2 linked regions of the Rhinolophus ferrumequinum genome follow. The protein of the gene in region 1 interacts with the protein of each later gene in a pairwise test. Links are inferred from orthologs where the notes say so. Each region holds a gene or a part of one and is shown on either strand. Other genes may lie near its edges.

Region 1 (7,945 bases):
GCCGCACAAGTACATAAATAAAAGTAAAACTTGTATTAATAACCTTGTATTTTAAAAAAGGAAATTTTAAGGTTAATTTCATTTCCACTGTGGACAGTCATTCTTAATTCTTAAAATTTCCCAACAGTTGAGATCTTTTATCCTAGTAACTTATTCCGTATCCAAGCAATATCCCTTTCCCAGCAGAATTCTTTGAATTCTTTCGTAGTAAATATAAGAGCCCTCATTTTAAGACAGCTCTCCAAAGACCAAACCAGGCAAGATGCTGAAGGAAAGGTTAAAACTCAACGAAATGGTAAGAAGGGGGTGCACTGTAAACACTTCCAGAACCACTTTTTGATTAAAGTGAGTTTTTTTCCTTTCAGAAAGCACCTATAAAAAGTAAAAGACCACATTTTAGGGGAAAGGAGGAATATGAAATTATGGTGCAAGGCCACGCTCTGAAGAAGGTACTTGGTTATGCAACACTTGCAGTGTTCTCCATTGGGGTCGTGTGCAGAGAAGCAGGAGACACTCACCTCATCAACTGGCAATGAACAGCAGCTGAAAAGAGTGGGGTGGGGTGCTGAACTGGGGACTATTCTCACTCCTAAGTGGGCCCCTCTACTTTCCTGGAACTCATGGAGAACACTGCTGTTATACATAGACCAAAACAAGGAGCTGCAAATGCAGGACTCACAGAGCAAAAACTGAAAAATTATGTCAAAATCGTGAAAGCATACCTGACCATATCTCATCTCAAAAAAGAAAACTTTAAAGCCTCCAACTTTCCACAGATAAAATGTTGCTCACAATAGTAACGATCTGAAATTGCACTTGGGTGCAGAACGTGTATTTACCTATATAAGCTCTTTCTTGTTCCCGAGTAAGTCCAGGGGGGATAACTGTAGGCATTCCTGGAATCACGGTCTTCTGTTCCATTGTGTCTTGGTTCCACCGGCTCCTCTTCCGCTTCTTACTTGGGAAGTCTGAAGGCAGATAAACTCCATCAGATGCAAACAAAAACCAGCAGAGTAGCTATCAACAGGCAATTTGGCATATTTGTGACATTAGTCTCAGCAGACTGGGAAACAGAGCTTGACCTACAATGGAAGTGGCGAAGAACAGAAGACCAAGACCAACCTAAAAAAATCAGACACATATGGCCACTACAAGGGGACCTGGACCTGGTTCCGAAAAGTTAACATTTCAGAGAAACTCTGTGAAGTATGTAAACAAGGTAATAAATCTTAATGCATGAAATTTCAGACAGAGAAATAAAAGTATTGACAAAATAAATACTACATCACCCACGAATGCTTTAAAAGCCCCAGGGAAGGTAAGAATAGAATGAATAACCAAACAAATTTGTCAAGTTATATTGGAGGATTGCTGGCCCCTCCCACCTCCACACCCCCACCAGTCACCTTTAGCACAACTAAACCTAGGGCTGGATTCTTCAACAAGATCACTTTTGTCTTCCGAAGTTTAGTCAAGATCAGCATTCAATTTTCCTGGCTATTTGGGAACTTAGTGTCTTGACTACCAAACGTTCAACAAAGAACAAAGTACACAACACTCAAAACCTCCTTCCTCAATACAAAGGCAGAAATCCCCTACATTTAACACACACAAGTTGTTCAGCGTCCCAGGTGGAAGCCCCAACGAGGGGGAGGTATACCAGAATCCTCTAAGGTACATGAAGGAAAGTCAGGCAAAAAACAGAAGCTCCCTCAACAGACACAACAGATTGGACCCCATTAGGCCCTGAAGACTTTCAACCTCTTTTGTTCTCTGTAGTGGAAAAACCCTGCTTTGCAGCCGAAATCGACGAGCTATTTTGGGTACTTTTCTCTCTTTCAGACTCCTCTACCACCAGGAAGAGGATGTTCCACGTCATCACTTGACCCTTTCACACCCTCCTGACCTGCACACCCAACAAACACCCTGTCCACCTACTCGAACCCTTCCACACCTCTCCCCTACACCTGGGGCTAGAGAGCAACAGCGGGCCCCCCAGGTTTGGTCGGGCCGCACACCGCGCCTGCGCACAGCAAACCTCCCGCCCTGATCCGCCCCCCCTTCTCCCAGAGCGCGTGCGCAACACTCTAGGCCCGAAAACCAGGCCGCGCGCCCTGTAGCGCCTCCGCCAGGGCCTCCCCGTGCGCGCGCGCGCCCCTGCCGCGTGCAGCCGCCGCCGTCACCGCTGCCGCGCGCCCCTCCGCCGGCCGGGCCCGTCCGCACGACGCCTCTCGCGCTCTCTCGGCCCGACTCACCTCCTCCGCCGCCGGCCGGGCCCGGCTGCTGGTCCTGACGCGGCGGCTGGGGTGGCAGCGGCGACACGCGCTGGTAGAGCGGCGGCGGAGAGGGCGGCTGCGGCGGCGGGTACGAGGAGCACGGGGAGGGCGGTGGCGGCGGTGGGGGGGGCGGCGGCGGAGGCAGCGCCGCGAACGGGAAGGCCGCGGTCAGGGCCCCCACCGAGCCTACGGGCGGGGGAAGTAGCGGCCTGGGTACCAGCAGTTCCGCCCCAGGTCTGGGGGCAGGCGGTGACCCCGGCTCGAAACCCCCTTTGGGCCCGGGAAGGGAGGGAAGGCCGGGGGGGGGGCCCAGCTTACCCAGCGGCGTGGCGTTTGCTCCGGTCGCCATGGCGCCCCGGGGGACCGGCACCGGCGGCTCCTCGGCGGCGGCTTTTCCTTAGCGAATCTTTCGGGGAGGGGGGGAGGGAGTCGCAGCGCTAGCGCGCGGAACCCGTCCTCTCACGCGGCGGGCGGCGGCGGCGCGAGACGCACAAAGAGGGAGGAGAGAGGCCGCCGCGGGGGCGGGCCGGGGGCGAAGGGGCAGAAGCCTGGATTGGGCCGGGCCGAGGCAAAGGGTCGGAATTGGCAGCCTCCAATTGGCGGAGCTTCAGTCCTTCTCGATGCGCGCTGGGATTGGCCGGACCGTTAGGCCAGGCGAGGAAATGGCGGCCGAGCCTGGCGAGCTGGGAGGTGTCGCAGCGCGCACTTCATTTGTTACTGCGCGAACTGAGCTCGGAGTCCAGAAAGGCGGGGTTAGGGTGGGGCAAACTATGACGTAGGCGCCAAGAGCGCTCTCATTGGCTGCAGTTGATGGAATCAGTCAAACTCGGTTGCATCGTAGTGTCATAGGATTGGCTGTCTCTTGTTCGAGTCTTTTTCCACTCCCCGTCCCTGGGGAGCAGTTTCGATGGGAGTAAGCGAAAGGTCGCTGCGGAAAAGCCACGGCGGTACGAAATTTACGGCGGGGAGGAGTGGAGTAGGAGCGCTCATGCGTAGATGGGTCAAAGCCGCCTCCGCCCCTACCTTCACGGTTGTTCACTGGGTCCGGAGCGGAAAGCCCAAAGTGACGTCAATCCTCGATTCCCATGGTAACACGGAACCGCGGGCTAGGGGTGGGGCCGGCGCGTGCCCGTAAACCGGATCCGTTGACGCCGCAGGTAAAAAAGGACTTCCTGTTTTCTTTGAACAAAAATAAAAAGGGGGGAAAAAGCTATAGTCTAATTGAAGGATTAAAAACACCTGAGCCGATGGAACAACACAATTTTATGTGGAAAAGAACATAAAGTCAATTCTAAAATTAGTTTACACATATGCAATTCCATTAAAGTCTCAGCGGGGTGGTGGTTAATTAAGTCATCTTAAAATCATATAAAATAACTGAAAATAGTGGGCAAACTTGTAAACAAGATTGAGGAGGAGCTGGCCTTTCCAGGTAACACAGTATGAAAGACACAAGAATGATGTAGGAAAGACAGATAAGTGGCACAGAATAAAGTCTGGATATAGATTACCAATATACTGGTAAGAATACCACAAAGGTGGTTTCAGTTCCGTAAGTTTTAGCTAATGGTATGGAATCTTGAATCTAAACCATAAAACAGACAATACAATTTATGAGGCGTAATCTAGGGGTAGAGTTTATGAAGACAGGCAACTCGAACTATAAAGAGAAGATATACTTGATTACCAAAGAAATTCAAAGTGATAAAATTCAAAAGAAAATGTCAGAAAAATATAATTGCCACACGTGATAGAGTTAATATCTTTAATATGAAAGGTCTTCAAAACTAATTTTAAAAAGACAAAATCAATAGGTAACGAGCAAAGACTGAATAGGGAAGTCTTAGAAAAGCAAGAACAAATAGCCAAAAACATGAAAGGATACCAACCCCCTTAGCAGGGAAATGCAAATTAAGGTGATAATGAGCAAACTCTTTATATAACCATTAAAAGAGCTAAAGACAAATGTGCTGACACCTACTACTGTGAAGTTCTTTTTTGGAAAGCATTCTGTTGTCTATTAAAATTGTACCCCTTTCAGGAAAAATAATAACCCTTTCAATGTAGCAATCCCTCTCGTGGGAATCTGCCCCAAAGTAAGGCCTGTGATTATATAATGTAATATATTCTCATGGCAAAAACCTGGAATCAGTTTCCATCCATATGTGAATGGTTGAACAAACTGTAATATCCATAACCTGGAATTAGGCAGCCTTGAAAAGCAGTTAGTTTATACCAACTGACCTACAGGGACTAATGTGCTGTATTTATTCTTAAATGAGGGAAAAAAAGCAAATACGCATTATATGATCTTGTTTTGGTAAAACAAACAAACCCCATATATATGCGTGTGCATGTTTGCAATGATTATATGAGTACAGACAAAGCTATGGTAGGATACACAGCACACGTTATCAGTGAAGACAATGGAGAGGGAAAAGGGTACCTGGAAGTTAATCTGAAACATTTTAAGAACCTAGTGTATTTTTAAAATGTGCTTCATACTTTTTAAAAATGTATGACATGATCCTATTTACATAACATATAAGGAAATGCATTTACAGGACAATCACCAAATTTCCAGTGGTGGTGGGATCTCAGGTAATTTTTCCTTTTTTCCTGTTATTTCTGTATATTATTCTAATTATACTGAACAAGTATTTATATAATAAAATACAAAGCTAATATTGTGGACAGGAAAGCAAAAATATAACGTTTAAATCATACTTTGAAGGAAAAATTAATTTATTTAGTAAATACAACAAATTTTACCGAGGAGCTGAGAAACTCAGTTTCTGCCTTCCAGAAAATCACTCAGGGCTTAAAATCAGATGCCTCCTGATTTTATACAAGGGTGCAGTATAACATATATATAAAACATGTATTATATGTAACATATGTAACATATATATGGAGCATTTGAAATCTTGCTTCCTGGCATGTTGTCAGTTGGCTCAAATAAACTCAGAAATTCTCTGCAGGTTTGGACATTGTTTTTTTCCATTGGGGAATATTGGGAAACTGTGTTTCTCCAGGGCCCATCTGCTCCAAGTCATTGTCCTTCAATCTAGTTGTGGAGGGCGCTGCTCAGCTCCAAGTCCAGTCGCTGTTTTCAATCTTAGTTGCAGGGGGCGTAGCCATCCCCACCATCCCATTGGGGGAATTGAACTGCAAGCTCACGCTCAACCAAGCCATCTGGTCCCGCCTCCGGCAGCTCAGAGGCAGCTCAGTTTCTTCAATCTAATTGTGGAGGGCACAGATCACTGGCCCATGTAGGAATTGAACTGGTAACCCTTTTCAGAGCTCATGCTCTAACCAACCGAGCAATTTGGCTGCCCCAGGTTTGGACATTCTTACATCGACACCAGGAAGCAAGATCTCAACAGACTGAGAAAATGCTCTGGAGAATGACAGTTTTGCAGTTTCTTTTATACATTGGGAATTAAGGAAGAAAGGTAAGGAAGAGTACGTGAAGGTGGGAGAAAGCAAAGCGGGCGTTGTTAAGATTATGTGCTCTCTTGAGGGTGATTACACCTCTGAGGGGTCTGGAAAAGAGGCATTTCAAAGATGTGTTAACCTCGATGCACAAGAATGATGGACAGGGCTGGCTTAAGGCAGAGAAAAACCTTTTAGTAAAGAAGTTATATGACTACCCACTGTGATCTTCCCAGTTAGGAATTTATGATCAGATCACCCTGTGATCAGGTTTGTTACCAAGCCCCTTTTTTGTCCATAGTATTTACTGAGAGAAGTGAAAGTATACAGCCACACAGACAGGTACACAAATGTTTATAGCTTTATTTATAATAGTCCAAAACTGGAAACAGCCCACATGTTCAACAGGTGACTAGCTAAACACTGTGGTACATACACACAGGAGAATACTACTTGGCAATAAAAAAGGAATGACTGTTACATGCAACAACATGAATGAATCTCAATAATGGTGCTCAGTGAAAGAAGCCAGACAAGAACAGAGGACATATTGTATGATTTTATTTATGTAAATTCTGAAAAATGCAAATGCATCTATGGTGACACAAAGCGGATCAATGGTTACGTGGGGATGGGGAGGTGAGGAGAAGCTGGAGGGTGTGATTACAAAGAGCAGAAGAAGCTTTTGGGGATGTCAGAGATGTTTGCTATCTTGATTGTGGTAATGGTTTCACAGGTGTATGTGTCAGTATATTTTTAATAGTACATTTTTAATATATGCAGTTTATTATATGCTGATTATACCTTGATGAAGCTGTTTTTAAAAAGAAACTATAGAAGAAAGCAACTACTGGGAAAGGGATCTGCCCACAGTTCTACACAGAATACTGATTTCACTATCTAGGAAAGGATTATCTTGGCATTATATTTTTTTGCTTTTTTTTTTTTAAGCCATTATCGAGCTTTCATTTTTGAGTGATTACTTTAAAATATTTAAACTTAAATGTTTTATTACATAGTATTTGATACAAACAAAAGGATGTGTGTACCTTATGTGAGTTAGGAATTGAATTATTAATTGAACACCTGTGAACCTACCACCCAGCCTGACAACCAAGATATTACCAATACCTCTGCAAATTCCTGGGGTCCTGTGTTACCCCACTCTCATTCTCCCCCCAGGGACCATCATTTTGAATTTTGTGCTGCTTCTGATCTAATGGAGTTTTTTCACATGTGCATCTATCACCAACTAGAAGTGGTTTAGACTTGCTATCATACTGTGTGTAATTTTATGTAACTTGCTGTTTTAATTTGGCATTACCCAAGATGCATCTGTGTTGTTGCATTTTGTATATTACCATTATTTTCAATCCTCCCAACAGCCCTGCAGGCAGACTTAGGATATGTACCTGGGAAAATGCAGCTCAGCAAGCTCGCCCAGTCCAGGGGCCTGACCCCAGGGCCTCCTCTTCACCACACCACGCTCATTCCTTCCCTCGGAAAGCAAGCCCAAGGGCCTGCTGTGCAGCAAGCAGTGTCCCACTGCTGGACATGCCAGTGAACATGGCCACATTCTCGTGGTGGTTCTCCTTTTGACCCTCACTTAACTGGTGTATGGGCCAGCTCCCCAAACACCCTGAGGTGCCCACGCCTCTTCCACTCACCCACAGGATGGCCGAGAGAAGCTGATATGACCCATCCCGGAAGCTTCCGCCCAGGGAGGGCAATTTGACAGTAGCTATCACAAGGACACACAGGGCCCCCTCTGACACAGCAATGCCACTCCAGGAATTGGCCCTAGAGGACACCTGAATATATAGAGGGGCATTGGCATAAGAATATTTATTGCAGTGTCATTTGTAATATCAAAGTAATAGAAACAACATAAAATTTCATCAATCGGGATCTAATGACAGTAAATTAACGTTATGGGAAATACATACAATGGAATACCACTGACTATAAAACAACAAAGGGGGAGGTACTGATCATGGAAAGCTCTCCAGGGTAGATTTTAAAGACCAAGATGCAAAGTGCGTGTGATTATGTTAGACCATGGTATAAAGAGGGAAGAATGAAACATACAGGACCGCTACATATGCATAAACACTTCAGAAGGCTTCAGAAGTAACTGGGACCTGAGTGGGAGACGTTTCATAGTACCTATTTTGCATTTTTTTAAAATTGTTTACCATACGCAAGGGCTACCTATTAAAAAATACATAAATAAA
Region 2 (7,823 bases), on another chromosome or scaffold:
ATAATTTTAAGTAACAGAAAAGCCAAGTCTCTAGAGAGTCCTGCAAAGAAAATAAAAATGACCAAAGACCAATTTCTAGAGATTGTCTAGTTTGTATCAATTAATGTGGTTCCTAGAAGGTGCCATTTCAACACTGCTACTGCATTCTAATGCTACCCAGACCTTAATAACGATCTAGAAGAAAACAGAACTTTTCAAAGGTTCCTTTTTAGACTTATTCAAAGTAGCCCTTAATTAAAAAAATATTTTTTTCCTTTCTCTATGTTGCTTTGGCTGATTATCCAAGACATACTATCCTACACTAAAGATGTAATTTGAAACATGGGGTTCTTTATAAATATGCTGACTTCAATATTCAAGAGAGCCTTTTACTCTTAGAATTTTTGAGCACATTCGTGCCATCCTTTAAAGATGTGTGTAATCCTAATCCCTAGCATATTATGCTATCCATCAAAATATTTTTATTGAGTATTAAGTTTAATTTGGCTTTGCAATAAACACAGCTTTGAAGATTCATGTATTAACATGCAAAATCAAACCAGTTTAAATGAACAACGTACATTTTTGGACTATCGGTACATACACTGATCTCACTTATTGCCTTTTCAAGATATTAATCCATTTCAGCTGTAACATTCAGTTACGGACAAAACAATAGCAATTCAAAACAAAGTAAATTTCATAGTAAAGGTAGAGTCAGGGCACAGACCTTATGCAAGGGTGTCATTTTAATAATTTTTAAAACTTTTTAAAAAGTGTCATCTGGTACTAAAATCAATATGGGATAAACTAAGTATGAATCAATAAAATTCACTTATTTCTCTCTTTAAAGTTTTATTATTAAAGCATGTATTCTATGGAATATTAAGTCAAACGCCTGTGCTAAAGAAATAAATTATTAGTATCTTAGTGGCCTCTACATACCTCATGTTTACAACCCCCACTATAACTACCTCAAACTTGAACCATTCCCATGCTTTATTTATAATTTTGTCACATTTGTAGGTATCCTTATATGCATTACCCCACCACAATTTGCTTTTTCATTCAATATTGTGAGTCATCCATGTTGATGCAAGCTTTTTTTTTTCACTGTTGTACTGCATTCTACTATATGAATATCCATAATTTATCCAGACATTTGGGTTGTTTCCAATACTGTCATGAACGATGCTGGTATAAACATCTCTGTATATGAATGCGGGGGCACAAGTCCAAGAGTTTCTCTAGGCCTTAGAGTCTAGGGCATAAAGTTTCAGAGAAGAATTACTGGGTCATTTTTGACTTTACTAGATAACCTTAATTTCTTTTCCCTAAGCAGTTGTATTGAAATTCACTTCTAAATTTGGCTATACTGTGAAACACTAAGCAAACATTCCACTTCTAGTCCTCCAAACTTAACACCAAGATAAAACATTTTCCTTCCTACCAAGGTATAAATCAAAATAATTTTTTTATTTTGTAAATTAAGTGATAATTGAGGTGCTTGTGACTAGTAGATCTGATACTTGTATACCTGAACAAAAGAAAATATTTGGAAATGTTTGGAGAAAATATTAACAACACCTAGTACAGAGACAATTACATGCATTCTCTCAAATTCCCGAGAACAATACAAAATACAGACAATTATTATCCCCATTTTCAGATGAGAAAATAGACTCACAACAGTTTAGGATTTTGCCCAAGGTCACACACACATTAAGAAGTGGCGTCACATTACTTTTCATCCAAGAGATAAAACTTTTATTACAAAAAGTTAACAGCACAAATCGACATGGATCTGTATCATAAGCAACTTATTAGTTTAACCGACATTAAGATTTGAATCTCAGTATGTGGGAGAACTTGTTTTAATGCTGTCAATTGCCAACCCTGTTAACCATGGCCTAACTGCATCAAAAACTTTCTAGATAGGCCGAGAAGTTAACGCTCCAGTCCGCTTATAGAGAAAATAAAAATAAGACCGAAACTTGGAAAAAACCCCAAAACCCTCCCTCCCCAAATACAGCCATTTGGATGGTAATTCCATTGCTTTATGTTCCAATGTGCGTCCTTCCATTTAAATACGACTGAAGGAATTTGAAAACGTTTTTAAAACTAAAACCCAGACTTTTAATTAGTCTCCAGTTTCAGAAACTGGAGACTAACAGTGATCTCTGGCTATAGATAACATAAGGGAAGCCATTTCGCGTTAAGCTTTTCCTAGACTGAACTCAGAGACCTCCATCCTCTTCTCAACAAAAACACCCGTGTTTCACAGATAAACGCTGAAGCCCGGAGACATCAAGTGAGTTGCTCAAATCCGCCAGGCTCCAAGAGTCGCCAAGCGAGGCGAGGCGAGGCCCGGATGGGGTCTGCGATGGCCGGGCCATCCCCCTCCCGCTCCCGCTCCCCGCGAGGCTGGGGCCGTGCGGCGCTACGACCGCCGTCCGCAAGGAGGAGTTGGGGCGTCGCCAAGCTACCACCCCCCTGCCAGGTCATCAGTGACTTCGGGGCCCAGGCCCACCCAAAGGCCTGTGCTCTAAATCGCTATTATGTCCCGGGTCGCCTCGCCTCCCCGAGTCGGGAGCGTTGTTCGCAGGCCTGCGTTCTGCTCCAAGTCTCCCGCTCTCCCGCAGGCGGCGGTCTCCTCTTGAAGCAGCCCCCCCACCCCCATGCACACACAAGGCCTCTCCTCTCCCCCTCCTCCCTTACCCTCCACGGTCACGATCCCGGTCCCGGTCCCCAAAGCCGCCTCCGCGCATGGTCCCAAATGGATAGAGATCTGGGAGCGGGGCACGGATGGCCGGGCTCGGGAGGGCCTGCGGCTCCGGTCTGGTGACGACCGATGGCGGCGGCGCCTCCGCTGTTGGGGCGGCGGCAGGCGCGGCGCTCTCTCGCTCCGACGCGCTGTCTCCCGTCGCAGACGCCACCGTCGCCGCCTCTCTCGTCGGAGACGGGAGCAAAACACAGAGAATCGGGGTTATAAAATCAGTGGGCAGGTTTGGCTACGCTCAAACCCGGCAGTGCCGCGGTTTAGGCGTCTCCTTCCTTCCCAGCGACTGCACAAAATGGCGGCCGGAGCTGAGACTGCTCCAGCTTAACGCTACGTACGTCGGAGCCCATACGTAAACAGCGTGTCGGAGTCGCCGGAGGGCTTTGCGGAGTACTACGGGTATTCTTGGAAGCATTTTTCGTCAGTTGCGGAGATGGACGCATTTTGCGGTTGGTAGAAGAAAAACAAAGTACGGATCGGGCGTAGTTCTCGCGTCGCCTAAACTAGAACGTGGGGTGGGGGTGGGGGGTGGTGAGCCTCCGGCGCGACGTAACATTCTTTGCGTCGTTAGCTGACCCACTGTTGCGAAGATGCGCAGTGTGCGTAACGCCTTCTGTTTGGAGAATAGAGGATTTTGCCGGGTTCGACCGCGGGACGGAACCCGGTCTTCTTGTGCAAGTTGCTTTGCCCAGACAATAACTGTCCTTCATTCTGCAGTCAAGTTTCAGGGTCTCCAGGTGCCAAACGCCCAGGAGGGTCTTTAAGGTCCCTGGCGGGCGCTCTGGCCCCGCCGCCCTGGGCCCCTAGACTGGCCGCGCGCCCCGGCGCCATTTCTTTTCGGTTGCTTCTCGCTGTGCCGGCGCCGGCAGCCATGATAGATGTTCCTTGTCCCTTCTTTCGGGTTTTGGTCAGGTGGCGACGTCTCACCTGGGTTAAAGCACTCTGCTACACTTAGTCACACTAAAGTGCACGTTCTCAACAATATTTACACTGTCCCCTGCTGAGCACAGCTGGCTAACAAAGAACCAAAATGTGGGTGGAGCCCTTAAGGTAGACGCTGAGATCCCTTGACCGCCCTTAAGCGGGCGCTGCCTCATGAGGCCCATGGCAGCCCCTTAGCGCTCTCCCGAGAGGAACAGAACGGTTTAAAAGCGGTGGTCTGCAGACACAGAAAAGGTGAAGGCATAAGTCATGTTTGTAACCAGCCTAGGCCGTGTCCTTAATTCCTTCTAATCTGGCTTCCCTCTCCCTGCCTGCTTCCTTCTCCCTCAAACTACACTTTAAAGTCTCAGAAGCTTGGCCTGACAGCGTCACGGAATCGTTGAGCTGAGCTGTTAGGGCCTCAGAAGAGCAGCTGTTTAACCATGTCTTATTTATTTCTACATATGGGTATAAGTGGGGGAGATTTGAGGTCCCTTATGGTAGGGGCTGACTGGTGTCTCCTACTCTGTGCTCTGAGTGTTTCCCAAATTATTACAAAAGTAGCATAAGGAAAGGATCTTCGTGACAAGCTGTTCAGATGTCTCTTGGGCCACAAATGCCGATGAGTAATCAGATTAATTGAACAAGTGTTGAATGCCTAATAGGCCCAAGCACTGTGCTAGGAACTGGTGCACAGCAGTGAACAAATGAGTTACTACACTCCTGGAGTTCACACTCTAGTGGGGAAGACAGACAATAAATGTTTATGTCAGGGTTGCTAACTAAAATAAAAAGAAAAAAAATGAAGCGGGGGGGAAAAGGGATAGAGGTATGTGTGTCTGTAGGAGGGAGTGTATACCCGTGCCTCCCTGATCAAGTGACATCTGAGCAGAGACCTCAAGGGAGGGAGCTAGCCTTGCTGACATACAGAAATGAGCAAGTGCAAAGGCCCTGAGGCAGAATGTGGCTGGAGTAGCGCAAGGAGGAAAGAGAGGGCCAGATCTTAAAGGGCTTGTTGGCTGCGGTAAGGACTTCGTTTTTTCCTTTCAGTAAATTGGATATGTCTAGAAGGTTTTAAGCAGGGTGACATAATAAATGGACCCCTATGGCTGCAGTACGGGGAATAAATTGAGAGTGAGCTAGGACAGAAGCAGGCAGATTAATTAGGTTAGTGCAATAATCCAGCAAGGGATGATGGGGCTTGGCATGGGTTAATAGCAACCAGTAAGGGAGAAATGGCCTGACTGAAAATCAAGCTACTGATTTAATGATGGGTGGAGCACGAAAGAAAGAAGAGTCAAGGATGACTCTTGTAGGAATTGGCCAACAATTAAGCTCCTACTGGGATTTAGACTGTATAGCACTGAGAGAGTTATTTGGACTGGTTTGTCTATCCTATATGCTAAGTAATTAAATCTGAGGCTCTCTATATAATAATAAATAACTTATATAAAGTAAATTAGGTCCATCGAAAACCCCCCTAAATTTTGCAGGGGAAAATAATTCATATATTGCTACTAGATCAGGTCCCTGTTTTATAGCATCTCATAACTCCTTTATCTTCAGAAAGCTTCTCATAGTACATAACTATATATTTATGTCATTATTTTTTTGCCCTCCAAAAAAAAAGTGAACTTACAGTCTTCCTCTGGCAGTCAAGTTTCTGAATATAAAGTGAATCCATAGTATGCATTTCTCATTATTTGCTGTATCTCTGTGTTTTCCTACCAAAGATGGTTGAAACTTATTACATTTTTCTAAACATAGAGGGAGATTTTCATTAAATAGGGCAGCCAGAGAACTGAGACATTTCATTAGTAACAGCTAAGACTTGGTAAAAATGAAAATGTGCTTTGCTCAATTCATCCTTTTTTTGAAAACCTAACCATACCTTACCATATCATATGATCCAGCAATCACATTCTTTGGTATTTACCAAAAGATGTGAAAATTTATGTCCACACAAAAACCTGCACAAAGATATTTATAGCAGTTTTACTATAATTGCCAAAACTTGGAAGCAACCAAGATGTCCTTCAGTAGGTAAACGGATAAATTGTGGTACATTCAGGCAATGAAATTTTAGTGTGAAAAAGAAATGAGCTATCAAGCCATGAAAAGACCTGGAGGAAACTTAAATGCATATGACTAAGTGAAAGAAACCAATCTGAAAAGGCTACATGTTGTAAAATTCCAAGTATATGACATTCTGGAAAAGGCAAAACTATGGAGATGGTATAAAGATCGGTGATTGCTAGGGGATGGACGAAGGACAGGATGAACAGGTGAAGCAGAGAGGACTTTAAGGGCAGCGAGACTATTCTGTATGGTACCATAATGGTAGGTACATGTCATTACACATTTGTCCAAACCCATAGAATGTACACCACCAAGAGTGAACCCTAATGTAAACTATGGACTTGGGGTGATTATGTGTCAATGTAGTTTCATTGACTGAAACAGGATGTTGATAGTGGGGGAAGCTATATGTATGTAGAGGCAGGGAATACAGGGAAACTCTGTATTTTCCACCCAATTTTGCTGTAAACCTAAAACTGCTCTGAAAAAATAATATTTAAAAAGAAATACCTAAGGACTGAAAACTATTGAGTGCTCTCATGTTCACTATGAGAGACACGTGCTATGAGCTTTTATTTTATTCTCATCTGTAAACGAGATAACAGTACCTCATAGGGATTTTGGAAGGAGCAAATGAAACCCCACTCAGAGGGGTGCCTGGCACATAACACTCAACATATGTTAGTGGTTAGTTATCATCTCTCCACTTTACAGATAAGAAAGCTGAGGCTTGGGGCGGCTGGATGGCTCAGTTGTTTAGAGCGTGAGCTCTGAACAACAGGGTTGCTGGTTTGATTCCCACATGGGCCAGTGAGCTGCGCCCTCCACAACTAGGTTGAAGGACAACGACTCAGAGCTGATGGGCCCTGGAGAAACACACTGTTCCCCAATATTCCCCAATAAAATTTATTAAAAAACAATGTGAGGCTCAGATTAAGTGCTAACCCAGGATCACACAGCAATTAGCATAGGCTGGACTCAAACCTAGGTGCTCTGGCAAGGTTTTGACTTGGCACTATTTAGGGCCGGATATTTATTGTGGGGGGTTATCCTATGCATTGCAGATGTTTAGCAGCATTCCTGGACTCCACCCACTAGATGCCAGTAGAATCTCCCTCCTCCTCCAAGTTGTGACAATAAAATGTTTCCAGACATTGCCCAATGTCTCCCAGGGGGCACTGAGAACCACCCCAGTTGACAGCCACTACTCTGGGACCACTATGCTATGCTACCTCCCTGTGGGATCACAGGGTCAATATCATTCTCTTTCCATTGTCCAGTTTTCCTGCAGATGTGGTTTCCTTTCTGCAGACTCCACCTGCCAACAATACCATTGCCATTTTTCGTTTTATCTGTGTTTTATTGTTATTATAGCAGTACAATTTATACTCGACTCGATTTCCAACCACTAAGAGAATTTTTCCATTTGTTTAAAGTTTTAAAACTGTAGTTCTTTGTTTTTAAGCTACTTTTACTGTAAACCACGTGTACTATAATAAGTTCTACACATACCTTCTCTTGTCCCATTGTCACAACTTTGCAATGTCATCGTCGTTAAACTCACCTAATGTGAAACATAATGCCTCTGCCTTCTATCTTGGTAGGACTCAGCTTGGTTCTTTGATAGCTTGGTTTATTGTACTTTAGATACAAGAGATTGAGAGTCCTGAGGTACTTAAGTCAACAAGGTAACTTGAAGCAGTGGCCTTTAACTGTGGTACACAAGGGACACATAGGAGCAGAGACTTTTCAGGAAATCTATTTCCAGAACTTGAACTTTCATATATACTCCTTTCTAAAATTGAGATGACTGCGAAATTTGCTTAAAATTGCACCCTCTCACTTTATAAATGAAAGAATATTTCTCTTCTACCCAAAATTTTACTACGGACTTTGCCATGGAAGTAAAAATCTCAGAGATCCCAATACGGGGATAGTTAGAAATGCTGACATTGGTGACTTGAAAAAAGTAAATGATCCTAATGCCTTGGTAACATGTCCATTTGCAAATTAGGAGAATTCCAGCTCTTTGCTTTCAACAAACAGGAAGGAGGACCATGTGGAA

Evidence for each region. The genes of interacting proteins can lie anywhere in the genome.
Region 2: the proteins of SF1 (region 1) and DDX17 interact in binary tests that used the Homo sapiens proteins (3 or more experiments, as listed by UniProt). The link is inferred for Rhinolophus ferrumequinum from reciprocal best matches to the Homo sapiens genes SF1 and DDX17.

What each region holds. Positions count from the first base shown.
Region 1 is NC_046294.1:6,767,232-6,775,176, reverse strand, and holds the start of SF1 (splicing factor 1), read right to left. Parts: upstream 3,015-7,945; 5' UTR 2,626-3,014; coding exon 2,256-2,625; intron 969-2,255; coding exon 840-968; intron 1-839. UniProt on the Homo sapiens protein: Necessary for the ATP-dependent first step of spliceosome assembly. Binds to the intron branch point sequence (BPS) 5'-UACUAAC-3' of the pre-mRNA. May act as transcription repressor.
Region 2 is NC_046293.1:8,627,556-8,635,378, reverse strand, and holds the start of DDX17 (probable ATP-dependent RNA helicase DDX17), read right to left. Parts: upstream 3,062-7,823; 5' UTR 2,748-3,061; coding exon 2,698-2,747; intron 1-2,697. UniProt on the Homo sapiens protein: As an RNA helicase, unwinds RNA and alters RNA structures through ATP binding and hydrolysis.